4 linked regions of the Saccharomyces cerevisiae S288C genome follow. The gene in region 1 interacts genetically with each later gene. Each region holds a gene or a part of one and is shown in the gene's direction. Other genes may lie near its edges. The genes, in order: EXG1, MTO1, CHK1 and CBC2.

Region 1 (3,755 bases):
TGATGTTCATGTTACTAAACCACTGTCCATGAAAATTAGGAAGGGCGCCAATTTCATCCCTGATAACGATATGACCGTATTAACAAGTAGCGGCTCAAGTTCCGGGGCTGCACTACTTGCGGCGTTAAGGATAATGGATAATTTCCAGAATCAAGAAGGGGGCGATTATGAAAAAGAAACTACCTATCATTTGCTTGAAAGCATGAAATGGATGGCAAGCGCAAGAAGCAGGTTAGGCGATTTTGAAGGCGAAGCATTACCTAAGCATATAGAAGAGGTATTGGATCCAGAATGGGCTTTGAAAGCAGTGAAATCAATCAAAAGAAACTCTCAAGACGGAAATTTTAAAACTTTAGAAAACTGGACGCTTTATGATCCGGCATACGATATCAATAACCCGCATGGAACTGCCCACTTCAGTATAGTAGATTCACATGGGAATGCTGTTTCCTTGACAACCACCATCAACTTGTTGTTCGGTTCCTTAGTACACGACCCAAAAACCGGGGTGATCTTCAATAATGAAATGGACGATTTCGCTCAATTCAACAAATCTAATAGTTTTGAATTGGCACCCTCCATATACAACTTTCCCGAGCCCGGGAAAAGACCCCTATCATCCACTGCACCCACTATTGTGCTGTCAGAATTAGGCATCCCAGACCTCGTGGTCGGCGCTTCCGGCGGCTCAAGAATCACTACGAGTGTTTTACAAACAATTGTGAGGACGTACTGGTATAACATGCCTATATTGGAAACGATAGCCTATCCACGTATACACCACCAGTTACTGCCCGACCGCATAGAACTGGAAAGCTTCCCCATGATCGGTAAAGCCGTACTAAGCACTCTCAAGGAAATGGGATATACGATGAAAGAAGTATTTCCCAAGAGCGTAGTTAATGCTATACGCAATGTCAGGGGAGAATGGCATGCGGTGAGTGACTATTGGAGAAAAAGAGGAATCTCCTCCGTATACTAAGATGTGGGGTAAGAATGGTACTGTAATATAGTTCAAGATAATAGTACGTAATGTAGGGAGCCTGCTTCTGTGGTATATAAATAAATACTGGGCTTGCGTTTATTTTTAAAGAATCAATATTTACTTTTCATTAACAAAGGGCATACGCCCTTAAAACAAAACAAAAAATCCAGATCATGCGAGCTTTGCCTTTTTCAGTAAGTTTCCCTACCTTGCAGCCGAGACGCGACTTCGGAACGATGCCAGCATACGTATTTACCATTATTAAAAAAATCTGATGGCTTGATACTGCGCGTTTCTTTTTATAGCATTAATACGCACACATACGCGCATTGTTGTTTACTATAAATAAACCGTGGGGACCTGACCCAGTCATCCTCCCTGTGTTTACAGTGCGGTGCACACGAGCCTGAGACAAGCCCGTAACCAGGCGCGTTGCCGCAAATACAGAGGCGCCCCAGACAACACCGCAGTGTGAAGCACTGTCAATTTAAAACCGTGGCTTGCTGGAGATGCCCAGACCAACCCTGTTGGGTTTTTCTCTCGAGCACGCCGTTATAATTTTAGCGTGTTCCGTACCTGTGTGCACATCAATAAGCGGTGTAACAAACTTGAACTTGCCATCTCATATCGTCATATGAGCAGTTGCAGAGAAAGGCACTTTAAATAAAAAGGCGTGGATGATAAAAAATGTATATAAGTTGGATGGATTTTTGGGAAAAAGTAATGTTTTTGCAGACGTTTTAAATACTCCCTCCCTTTTCTTAGTAATTTTTATTATGTATTGACTAAGTCAAAAATAACTATAGAAAACTAAAGTTTACGAGAGGACCCAAAAGTTTTGAATAACACGTGCCTTTGATTTTTTGTTTACTTTCTTTTTCTAGTTAATTACCAACTAAAATGCTTTCGCTTAAAACGTTACTGTGTACGTTGTTGACTGTGTCATCAGTACTCGCTACCCCAGTCCCTGCAAGAGACCCTTCTTCCATTCAATTTGTTCATGAGGAGAACAAGAAAAGATACTACGATTATGACCACGGTTCCCTCGGAGAACCAATCCGTGGTGTCAACATTGGTGGTTGGTTACTTCTTGAACCATACATTACTCCATCTTTGTTCGAGGCTTTCCGTACAAATGATGACAACGACGAAGGAATTCCTGTCGACGAATATCACTTCTGTCAATATTTAGGTAAGGATTTGGCTAAAAGCCGTTTACAGAGCCATTGGTCTACTTTCTACCAAGAACAAGATTTCGCTAATATTGCTTCCCAAGGTTTCAACCTTGTCAGAATTCCTATCGGTTACTGGGCTTTCCAAACTTTGGACGATGATCCTTATGTTAGCGGCCTACAGGAATCTTACCTAGACCAAGCCATCGGTTGGGCTAGAAACAACAGCTTGAAAGTTTGGGTTGATTTGCATGGTGCCGCTGGTTCGCAGAACGGGTTTGATAACTCTGGTTTGAGAGATTCATACAAGTTTTTGGAAGACAGCAATTTGGCCGTTACTACAAATGTCTTGAACTACATATTGAAAAAATACTCTGCGGAGGAATACTTGGACACTGTTATTGGTATCGAATTGATTAATGAGCCATTGGGTCCTGTTCTAGACATGGATAAAATGAAGAATGACTACTTGGCACCTGCTTACGAATACTTGAGAAACAACATCAAGAGTGACCAAGTTATCATCATCCATGACGCTTTCCAACCATACAATTATTGGGATGACTTCATGACTGAAAACGATGGCTACTGGGGTGTCACTATCGACCATCATCACTACCAAGTCTTTGCTTCTGATCAATTGGAAAGATCCATTGATGAACATATTAAAGTAGCTTGTGAATGGGGTACCGGAGTTTTGAATGAATCCCACTGGACTGTTTGTGGTGAGTTTGCTGCCGCTTTGACTGATTGTACAAAATGGTTGAATAGTGTTGGCTTCGGCGCTAGATACGACGGTTCTTGGGTCAATGGTGACCAAACATCTTCTTACATTGGCTCTTGTGCTAACAACGATGATATAGCTTACTGGTCTGACGAAAGAAAGGAAAACACAAGACGTTATGTGGAGGCACAACTAGATGCCTTTGAAATGAGAGGGGGTTGGATTATCTGGTGTTACAAGACAGAATCTAGTTTGGAATGGGATGCTCAAAGATTGATGTTCAATGGTTTATTCCCTCAACCATTGACTGACAGAAAGTATCCAAACCAATGTGGCACAATTTCTAACTAAGTCGCCCTCAGTCCGCTCATTTTAGCTGAATTTTCTAATGTTATTTTTCATCAGCAAAACTTAACAGAACGTTAATTTATCTACCCCTTTTAGTTCATTATCTCTTTTTTATCCAACATTTTACAGAGATCTCTCACTTAAGTCTAAGTAAAGACATTATTTTATATGGTACACTTATAGAATATACGATAATAATAATAAAAACTATGTAACATAACCTTCAGAATTTAATATTAGTTTCCTTTTTACCTCATTGCACTAATAAAAAAATTCTACAGAATCTCCGAAAAAGAAAATCCAGCTTACTCTTTTTGTTTTCTTCTTCACACGTGAGCTTTTCCGCCGGCATACGTTCCGTTCCGTGTCGTCTTGCATAAAATTTCCGAATCACATGTTCGTAAAACAACCGGAAGTGCCCCGAATATAAAGTCAATTCTCACCGCTGTTGTAACTGGAGCTTTAAGGTGTTATCTAAGGAAGGATAAAAGAACTTAAACAACAACAAACAAAAAATTAAGTTACA
Region 2 (4,157 bases), on another chromosome or scaffold:
TAACACTTCGGGAACAAGTTGATTTGTCTTAGAATCCTTCACCAAAATCATCCCGGTGAACAGCACACCAACAAAGGGCATACCATCACGTCTCATCCCATCAATCGTAGGCTTCACAATCTGTGAATCTATGGTCTTCAACAAAGATGGTGTGGCCACAGGAGCGGGGGCATAGGCACCCATCCCACCGGTGTTCAAGCCCTTGTCGCCATCAAAGATCCTCTTGTGATCTTGTGCGACGGGGAGATTGAAGTGAGAGTACCCGTCAACAATGGTGAGTAGAGAGATTTCATCACCTTCCAAGAATTGTTCTATCACAACCTGCTTGCCCGCTTCTTCACCGAATTGCTTGGTGACCATTATGTCCTTGATAGCTTGGACGGACTCGTCGATGCTAGATGGGATAATAACACCTTTCCCAGCAGCGATCCCGTCGGCCTTGATGACAAAAGCTTTGTCAGTATGAGCTTGCAAGAATGAAATGGCTTCTTCTGGATTAGTGAAGACATCATAAGACGCGGTTGGAATATTGTGTTTTGACATAAATCTCTTGGAGAAAGCCTTGGAAGCTTCCAACTGAGCGGCTTTGACGGAAGGTCCAAAAACGGGAATACCAACGCTATGGAACACGGAGGTGATGCCGTTGACTAGAGGTAATTCTGGACCAGGAACGACCAAGTTGATCTTATGTTCCACAGCCATCGACTGCAAACGAGCAAAATTGGCGACATCTGGCGTAATATCCCAGTTTATCACACGCGAAGGATCCATGGTTGCGGTCCCTCCATTACCTGGAGCGACATAGATCTTACCCACGGTGGGTGACTGAGCCAGCTTGGTGACAAGAACGTGTTCTCTTGCACCGTTTCCTAAAACGAGAATGTTGAGCATTGTGAGGGGAGGGAGAATGGTTCTCTTAAGCTATGATTAAGAAAGTAATAAGAAATAACTGCGCTACTAGTGGTAGCTCCTGGGACGGTTAACAGCGGTTGCACTTGCCTCTGAACATAGTTTAAATACCAAGTTCAAGCCCATCGCATATTCATTATTGCTGTTATTACCAGGACACGAGTCAGTCGGCACTTGTCACTACCGACGGGGCGAGTCAACTGAAAAAAAAAATGAAAAATTTTGAAAAAAAAAAAAAGCTGCTTACTGCCACTATTAGTCACGGTATGAACAACGGCAGTTGAAGATTAGACGATTTCTTAACGCTTAGGTAGTTATTAGAGTATGATATAGTAGATTCAAGTTTATGATATCTGTCTGTCCCTGTGTGGGGTTGTAGTAATGCTGTGGCTTCTTTCTTGTTACTTAGATATGGCGTTGCAGAAGGAACGTACAAAGAGGTGCTTCTTCATCCGGGGGTCTTCTACTTTTGTATGGCTCTTGATCGCCACCGTGTAATCGAGCCCTTGTGGCTTCTCTAAGGTACCTGTGTGCGGCCACTTTCTTTATGGTTGGTAACGTATGGTGGCATCTTTCACAGACGGATAAGTGCGGTTTAATTCTTCACTTAAATCTTGAGGGCATCCAATAGTTTCTGCAGAATACCAGCTAAACGCCCCAAAGAACGATGCTGCGTGTAACAACCTTGGCGTCTTCGTGTACTTCATTTCCCTTACAGGTCCTCAGGAGGCGGTTGACCATATCTTCTTTGACAAGCTTCCAACCCACAACCAAGACACAGGTCGTGGTCATCGGTGCTGGACATGCAGGCTGCGAAGCTGCAGCTGCGTCATCTAGGACTGGTGCGCATACTACTCTCATTACACCATCGTTAACAGATATTGGTAAGTGTTCGTGCAACCCCTCTATTGGTGGAGTGGGTAAGGGCATCCTTGTAAAGGAAATCGACGCTCTCGATGGGCTGATGGGCAAAGTAACTGATCTCGCTGGAGTGCAATTCAAAATGCTGAACAGAAGCAAGGGTCCTGCTGTGTGGGGGCCCAGAGCCCAGATAGACAGAGAGTTATATAAGAAATACATGCAAAGGGAACTTTCCGACAAGAAAGCACACCCCAACTTGTCTCTGCTGCAGAACAAAGTTGCTGACTTGATCTTGTATGACCCCGGATGTGGCCACAAGGTCATCAAAGGTGTGGTTCTGGATGACGGTACCCAGGTTGGGGCAGATCAGGTCATAATCACTACAGGTACGTTTCTCAGTGCAGAAATTCACATCGGCGACAAGCGTATTGCAGCAGGAAGAATTGGCGAGCAGCCAACATATGGGATCAGCAATACTCTACAAAATGAGGTGGGCTTTCAGTTAGGGCGTTTGAAAACAGGCACTCCGGCTAGGCTGGCCAAGGAATCCATTGATTTCAGCGCTCTGGAGGTCCAGAAGGGAGATGCGTTGCCTGTCCCTATGAGTTTTCTGAATGAAACCGTGTCAGTCGAACCCACGAAGCAACTGGATTGCTTTGGCACACATACCACACCTCAAATGCACGACTTTTTGCGCAATAACTTGCATCAATCCATTCATATTCAGGACACGACCATCAAAGGCCCCCGCTATTGTCCCTCCATCGAAGCTAAGATTCTAAGGTTTCCTGATAGATCTTCCCATAAGATATGGTTGGAACCAGAAGGTTTCAACTCCGACGTCATTTATCCGAACGGGATATCCAATTCTATGCCTGAGGATGTCCAGTTACAAATGATGAGGCTCATCCCGGGCATGGCAAACGTTGAGATCTTGCAGCCGGCATACGGCGTGGAATACGACTACGTAGACCCACGGCAATTAAAGCCTAGCTTGGAAACAAAATTGGTGGATGGACTATTCTTGGCCGGACAAATAAATGGTACTACAGGCTACGAGGAAGCCGCTGCACAGGGGATCATTGCAGGTATCAATGCAGGATTACTATCGCGCCAAGAACGGGAGCAATTGGTCTTGAAAAGGTCCGAAGCGTACATTGGTGTGCTCATTGACGATCTAATCAATAATGGCGTCATAGAACCATATAGAATGTTTACTTCCAGATCAGAATTCAGAATCAGCGTAAGAGCCGATAACGCAGACTTCAGACTGACGCCCATTGGTGCTCAACTAGGGATTATATCTCCTGTCCGTTTAAGTCAATATTCAAGAGACAAGCACCTATATGATGAAACAATACGGGCGCTTCAAAATTTCAAGCTAAGCTCTCAAAAATGGTCTAGCTTACTACAGGCTAATATCGCGCCACAGGCTGAAAACAGATCTGCTTGGGAAATATTCAGATTCAAAGATATGGATCTACATAAACTCTACGAGTGCATTCCCGATTTACCCATTAATTTGCTGGACATCCCAATGCATGTTGTCACCAAAATTAACATTCAAGGTAAATACGAACCTTACATTGTCAAACAGAACCAGTTTGTGAAGGCATTTCAGGCAGACGAAAATATGCTGTTGCCGCAAGATTACGATTACCGTCAGTTACCCACGCTTTCCACTGAATGCAAACTACTCTTGAACCGCGTACAGCCATTGACCATAGGCCAAGCAAGACGGATTCAAGGTATCACTGCGGCAGCCCTATTTGAACTCTACCGTGTGGCACGGAAGCCAAGCCAACCAGTCATGTAAATATCCTTTAATCGTTAGCTTGTATATGTAAATAATTCATTGTATGTAACCATCAAATTCGTTATTTAGCAATCTTACCCGGAAAACTTCTTGTATCGTAACATTAATTCTCCCTTACAAGGGGACCTCGATGAATAAATAAAGTGTTTGTGTTGAAGGTACTTGCAAAAGGGCAACTCACTGTCGTTTATAATTTGATTTACTAATCGCATCTGTATTTGGAAAAGCATTTCTTTTTGGAAGAGGAACAAGAACGCCATGTCAGCAGACGAAACGGATGCGAAATTTCATCCATTAGAAACAGATCTGCAATCTGATACAGCGGCTGCAACATCAACGGCAGCAGCTTCACGCAGTCCCTCTCTTCAAGAGAAGCCCATAGAGATGCCCTTGGATATGGGAAAAGCGCCTTCTCCAAGAGGCGAAGATCAACGGGTTACAAATGAAGAAGATTTGTTTTTGTTTAACAGATTGCGGGCATCACAGAATAGAGTTATGGACTCCTTGGAACCACAACAACAGTCACAGTATACATCTTCCAGTGTCAGTACGATGGAACCATCTGCCGACT
Region 3 (3,973 bases), on another chromosome or scaffold:
TTTTCTAATTGCGTAAGGAGATTTTCCACGTAATTTGTTTCTTTCTCACTCATTGCTCCTGTTTCGCTGAGTTCTTTTGCGGTGATTATAGTTGTAAACTTGTTTTATTTTTAATCCCGTAATTAAGGTGTTTATATAAACTTACTCTTCAATTTTTCTATATGCATTTGAAACAGAAAAAAAGATATAAAAATACCAGCTATAACAAAAATCCATGTAAATAAAATTACTGTATATTTTTTTATGTAATCTAATCAAAAAAAATTCACGTCTAATACTAGTCATAAATGGAGTTGAAGCCATTAACTACTTATTTTTTATCTTCGTCCTTTTTCTTTTCTAAATGGACATTATTACCATTAAAGGTTGTTGGGTCTTCAGGATCTTCTTGATGATCGTTGTTAACAAATTGGAAAACATTTGGCGAGACAGAACGTGACGTAGTAAGGTTGGTTTCCGATGGGTACCTGGTTCCGCTAGGTGTCAGCATTGGTGATGCATGAGCAGATGATTGAACTGGTTCCCGAACATTGTTGTATTGGAAACAGCTTGACGAAGCAGCTCCAGATAAAGGTGTTGAAGACCTCACTTCGTGACGATTCGGCTTCGATGTTTCCTCACGTTGTGATGTTACTTCAGGATCTTTATCGTTGTGCCACCACGTAGAGAATCCCTTATAAAGACGGCCCAAAAGGCTTGGTCCCTCCATCCCAGTCACAGATAGCCCCGAGTTTTGAGTTTCTAGTGGTTTAAGTAATAATGCAGACCTTGGAGTTAGTTCTAGTGTCTCTAGCGTCTTCAATTCATCAGAATCCTTAAATGTCACTCTGGGAATGCCCCTGTGGAATGAGTACGGGCAGTCTCCATCTGTCCTGTTGACGTCCACCCATTTTCTAACGTCATTTAATGTTTCAGACGAGTTGAACTCATGTTTTAGAGTCTTGCCATCAGTCATCCTGATTTGCAAGACGCATTTGCTGCTGTGCAGTTTTTGTGCGTCTTTTATGTAATCATGAACATCCAATGGCTTATCATCATCAAGGGTTCTGTGATGAGTTTCATCAAGAGCTTTTCTTTCTGCACGGTCTGCCCTAACAAGTCTTATAATTCTTTCTCTTTCCTCCTCAGCCAGCTTTCTTTGTTTCAGTTGTTCACGACGTTGGATCTCTAAGGTAGTCTCAGCAATCCGTTCTCTTGCATTTTTCCTATGGACGTCTCTGGATGACTTTTCTTCTCTAGCCAAACCTGGATTGGTTTCCCTGGACGAACTCTCACCAGCCTTTTTGTCTTTGATGCCTATGCACGCCAGCAACTTCTCCCAATGTCGGTCATCCTCGCCTTGAATAATCAATTCTATCTTTCCAGCACGTATCAAGTATATACTGGGTACAACTACATTAGGAAATACTTGCTCAAATAACTGGAACTGCTCAGTGTCTTTGACCAACCTCAACCAAATACTATGTTCCGCTAAAGTATCTAATGAGACATCATCTCCTTTAAACCAACTTTTCAGCCACTGGTCATCCCGTGCAGTGTTGTAAACGGCCAGCACAACGCCTTCCTTGATGGAATCGTTTATTGCTTCTTCCACAGAATCTCTAAACAGTGCTTCTAACATTTGGTTACGGCTGTTTGGTTTAGCTATCCTTGCTTCTTTGTAAGTGCTTTCAACCTCAACCCAGCTCCCTTTTAAATTTTCAACATTACTACGAGGCCTGCCGAAGTTAATAAAGAGCGGCTTTAAATGTCATTTTAATAATTGAATGGCAAATAAAAACAACTACAGCTTCAAACATAAGAGTATATCATAAGTTGCTGTATATGGGCAGCACGTATTACTATGAGTCTCTCGCAGGTGTCACCTTTACCCCATATCAAGGATGTTGTTTTAGGAGATACAGTAGGCCAAGGCGCATTCGCCTGCGTTAAAAATGCTCATCTTCAAATGGATCCCTCCATTATTCTAGCTGTTAAATTCATTCATGTTCCCACTTGCAAAAAAATGGGACTCAGTGACAAGGATATCACAAAAGAGGTTGTTTTGCAATCGAAGTGTTCTAAGCATCCTAATGTTTTGAGACTTATCGATTGTAATGTCTCTAAAGAATATATGTGGATAATTCTGGAGATGGCAGATGGTGGTGATCTATTTGATAAGATTGAGCCTGACGTTGGAGTTGATTCCGACGTGGCCCAATTTTACTTTCAACAGCTCGTTAGTGCTATTAATTATCTGCATGTAGAATGTGGAGTTGCTCACAGAGACATCAAGCCTGAAAACATCTTACTCGATAAGAACGGAAATCTGAAGCTAGCTGATTTTGGGCTCGCCTCTCAATTTAGGAGGAAAGATGGTACATTACGTGTATCCATGGATCAAAGGGGTTCTCCACCCTACATGGCTCCTGAAGTATTATATTCTGAAGAGGGTTATTACGCAGATCGAACAGATATATGGTCTATTGGCATCCTCTTGTTCGTATTGTTGACTGGTCAAACGCCTTGGGAATTACCTTCATTAGAGAACGAAGATTTCGTCTTTTTTATTGAAAATGATGGAAATTTAAACTGGGGACCCTGGTCAAAGATAGAATTTACTCACTTGAACCTACTCCGAAAAATTTTACAACCTGACCCAAATAAGAGGGTGACATTGAAGGCTTTAAAGTTACATCCTTGGGTATTACGTCGAGCTTCATTTTCTGGGGATGATGGTCTCTGTAATGACCCTGAACTCTTGGCTAAGAAACTGTTTTCTCACTTAAAAGTCTCACTGAGTAACGAAAATTATTTGAAATTCACTCAAGATACAAACTCTAATAATAGGTACATTTCTACTCAGCCAATTGGTAACGAATTGGCTGAGCTTGAACACGACTCAATGCATTTCCAGACAGTTTCGAATACACAACGTGCATTTACCTCGTATGATTCAAATACGAACTATAATAGCGGAACAGGTATGACACAAGAGGCTAAGTGGACGCAATTCATAAGCTATGATATCGCTGCCTTACAGTTTCATTCTGATGAAAATGATTGTAATGAATTAGTAAAACGACATTTACAATTTAATCCGAATAAACTTACCAAGTTCTACACGTTGCAACCTATGGATGTTTTGTTACCGATTTTGGAGAAAGCCTTGAATTTATCACAAATTAGAGTAAAACCCGACCTTTTTGCGAATTTTGAAAGATTGTGCGAATTATTGGGTTATGATAACGTTTTCCCACTTATTATAAATATTAAAACCAAAAGTAATGGGGGTTATCAATTATGCGGTAGCATTTCCATCATAAAGATTGAAGAAGAGTTGAAAAGTGTCGGATTTGAAAGAAAAACTGGTGATCCTTTAGAATGGAGAAGATTGTTCAAGAAAATTTCAACTATCTGTAGGGATATTATCCTAATTCCCAACTGAAAAAAATGGAGACAAAAGAAGGGTTAAGATGCACTGATCAAAAAAAAAAAAAAATTCTTTCTACTTATTATATATCTCTCTCGATTTCTAGTGTGTCATCGTAACTATATATTGTTTCGAGAGATTTTATTATTGTAATTAATTTATTGCCATTTTGATCTATTCTACATACTAACAATCAATTCATATCATTATCCCTGTTTGAGTAATATTCGAGCCTCATCATAAAATCTAATAATTCAATTCTCAAGTTTCTTCTTTCTTCCACAGATATTCCGTTCAAGTCGCCCGGTGTGAACCCTCTCAATCTGGCCACTAACCTTCTCGACTTTTTTGAAAAAAAGTGCACTTTTAATGAAGGTGTGGCTTCCCTAGATGTAGCATCTTCGTTACCATCTCCCCCCAACAAAGGTTCGCCATCTGCTTCTGTGTGGGCTTGGCCTAATTGAATTTCATGGTGTTTTTCTTTTCCACCAATTGTTTTTGGTACGGTGTCTAAGCCATTCTGCGCGTTGATATTTGTATTTTCTGTCATTCGAGGAGGTG
Region 4 (2,714 bases), on another chromosome or scaffold:
TGCAAGGATTAATAACGTAATAAAACAAGAACGACAGTACATAAACGAAAGAAGAGATAACTATATTATTGTATAGAATTATCGATTCTCTTTTAGAATTCTTTTATTCTCCAGGAAAACTACTTGTACATTCTGTTTAGCTAATATTGTAGCCTTTAACCACAATAAAATGCACTCCAAGTATAACCCAAAATTCATTGTTTTCAAATTTATATTAATGAGATATTGGTAACCTAAACATCAAAAATATTTTTACTCAAATTCTCTTTTCTGAAAACGCTGAAGGAAATGTGCAGGAAAAATGTTTGGCCATCAACTTTTATTCCTAGTACCACAACTAACGTCACATTCTATCGAGGCAAATGCTAATTGGCAACTAACACTATCTTAACGGTTTGATAATGTCAACACAAAATTCACCTATTATTACAAACGAATCTACCGGAAGTTGAAATGCCTGACAATAATCATACAATTGCATGAATAATTGCGAACAGATGGCAGCAAAGGATGAACTAATCATAATTATACATTGCCGCTGTAGGTTTCCTCCCATAAAAATCCAAATTTCCAAGAAAAAGTTCTTGTGTCTTCATACACTTAATATTGTTATCCTTCTTCAAGACCGGACTATATAAAGAAAAAATTTTGTAATGCTATTATATTTCAACTTCAAATTATTTTCTACTAGTAGACATAATGGAACTTCGCTCTCAGATAATCTATGGCGATAGATGGACAATTGACAATCTTCTGAAAGAATTTATATAATAAGATGTGACCATGACCTAAACCTGCTCACGCTCATGAAAGGATACAGGTAATTTGGCGAAACATTCCCAAGCTTCGCTGATAGACCTATCCCAGAAAGTGTCTGTTTAAAACTACAAGTATTTGCAGTTTTCGTTATCCAGTTTCGTTCAAGAGCATTAATGCACAAGCCACTTATATTATATAAATTTAAACTTTGGGAAAATATCATACACCTATTGTACCAGTAAATGTTGGAATAAAAATCAACTATCATCTACTAACTAGTATTTACGTTACTAGTATATTATCATATACGGTGTTAGAAGATGACACAAATGATGAGAAATAGTCATCTAAATTAGTGGAAGCTGAAACGCAAGGATTGATAATGTAATAGGATCAATGAATATTAACATATAAAATGATGATAATAATATTTATAGAATTGTGTAGAATTGCAGATTCCCTTTCATGGATTCCTAAATCCTTGAGGAGAACTTCTAGTATATCTATATACCTAATATTATAGCCTTAATCACAATGGAATCCCAACAATTACATCAAAATCCACATTGTCTACAGTAAAAGTATACCACTAATAGATTTGTAATTGGTGTATGAAGTAGTGTATGGTATAAACGTTAATAAGTGCTTATCAAAGTATTACCCGCTTTAACAGTTTTTGTGTTTTTTTCAAGAAAAATATTATATGTATGAATATAGAACATGAGTTTATATGGAGAAAGTGTCTCGACAGCTTTTAAAGTCCCGAAAGGACTAATATCGAATAAAAGTTGCATCCATTAATATACCAATAAATAAAGGGAAAGATGTCCCTGGAAGAATTTGACGAAGTTAAATATGATCATTCAACTAAACGCCTAGATACACCATCAAGGTACCTGCTGCGCAAGGCTAGAAGAAACCCTAACGGGCTACAAGAACTGCGTGAGTCGATGAAGTCATCCACAATTTATGTAGGAAATCTTTCCTTTTATACATCAGAAGAACAAATTTACGAATTATTCAGTAAATGTGGCACAATAAAAAGAATAATTATGGGTTTGGACCGTTTTAAGTTCACGCCATGTGGCTTCTGTTTTATTATATATAGTTGTCCAGATGAAGCATTGAATGCCTTAAAATATTTGTCCGATACAAAGTTAGACGAAAAGACAATTACCATTGATCTAGATCCTGGTTTTGAAGATGGAAGACAGTTTGGTCGTGGTAAGAGCGGTGGTCAAGTCAGCGATGAATTGAGGTTCGATTTTGATGCATCCAGAGGTGGCTTCGCCATTCCATTTGCAGAGCGTGTCGGCGTACCACATTCCAGATTTGATAACAGTAGCTCACAATCTAATACGAATAATTATATCCCTCCTCCTGATGCAATGGGTACTTTCAGACCAGGTTTCGATGAAGAAAGAGAAGATGATAACTACGTACCTCAGTAGAATCAATCAATTTATATCTGAGAAAGATTCTACACACAGATATATATATATATATATATATTATTGTATATATACATACCTACATTATTTTTAAAGGCTTGCATGATGCTGTTATGTAAAAAAAAAAAAAAAAAATCAGTGTAACATAATAGACGTAACACGTTCAATGACATGATAATACTATATATAGTAACGATAAAATGTAAATGGTAATAGATATAATTATATGAATATTTAAGTAATGCATTGATAAGTGATCAATTCATATCAGGGTTGGATAGCTTTTTCAATTCTTCCAGCCTATCAATTAGTTTTTTACGGCGTGTAACGGGGGCATGAGCAAATCTCTTGGATAATTCATAATCCGTGGAGCAGGTTGACGTAGCATCGTACATAGTATTATTTGTGGCAGATAATGTGTTATGATATGCTGAGACGTTTTGAACTCGTTCCACTGGGGTATTATTCGCGTTGTCATTAGGAATTGAGTTTACCAGGGTATAG

What was found.
Region 2: mutations in EXG1 (region 1) and MTO1 together harm fitness more than expected from each alone (negative genetic interaction), as found in Saccharomyces cerevisiae (2 studies listed by BioGRID).
Region 3: mutations in EXG1 (region 1) and CHK1 together harm fitness more than expected from each alone (negative genetic interaction), as found in Saccharomyces cerevisiae (3 studies listed by BioGRID).
Region 4: mutations in EXG1 (region 1) and CBC2 together harm fitness more than expected from each alone (negative genetic interaction), as found in Saccharomyces cerevisiae (2 studies listed by BioGRID).

The regions. Positions count from the first base shown.
Region 1 is NC_001144.5:727,070-730,824, forward strand, and holds EXG1 (glucan 1,3-beta-glucosidase), read left to right. Parts: upstream 1-1,885; coding exon 1,886-3,232; downstream 3,233-3,755. Other genes in the region: ECM38 (gamma-glutamyltransferase), read left to right, coding at 1-982. UniProt on the Saccharomyces cerevisiae protein: Glucanases possibly play a role in cell expansion during growth, in cell-cell fusion during mating, and in spore release during sporulation. This enzyme hydrolyzes both 1,3-beta- and 1,6-beta-linkages and even has beta-glucosidase activity.
Region 2 is NC_001139.9:53,216-57,372, reverse strand, and holds MTO1 (tRNA modification protein MTO1), read left to right. Parts: upstream 1-1,576; coding exon 1,577-3,586; downstream 3,587-4,157. Other genes in the region: ADE57 (bifunctional aminoimidazole ribotide synthase/glycinamide ribotide synthase), read right to left, coding at 1-891; YGL235W (uncharacterized protein), read right to left, coding at 1,558-2,094; transcription activator HAP2, read left to right, coding at 3,845-4,157. UniProt on the Saccharomyces cerevisiae protein: Component of the MSS1-MTO1 complex that catalyzes the 5-carboxymethylaminomethyluridine (cmnm(5)U) modification at the 34th wobble position (U34) of mitochondrial tRNAs.
Region 3 is NC_001134.8:747,751-751,723, forward strand, and holds CHK1 (serine/threonine protein kinase CHK1), read left to right. Parts: upstream 1-1,843; coding exon 1,844-3,427; downstream 3,428-3,973. Other genes in the region: HSM3 (Hsm3p), read right to left, coding at 1-53; UBX7 (Ubx7p), read right to left, coding at 311-1,621; DNA-binding protein RIF1, read right to left, coding at 3,606-3,973. UniProt on the Saccharomyces cerevisiae protein: Serine/threonine-protein kinase which is required for checkpoint-mediated cell cycle arrest and activation of DNA repair in response to the presence of DNA damage or unreplicated DNA.
Region 4 is NC_001148.4:210,575-213,288, forward strand, and holds CBC2 (nuclear cap-binding protein subunit CBC2), read left to right. Parts: upstream 1-1,583; coding exon 1,584-2,210; downstream 2,211-2,714. Other genes in the region: CUP9 (Cup9p), read right to left, coding at 2,468-2,714.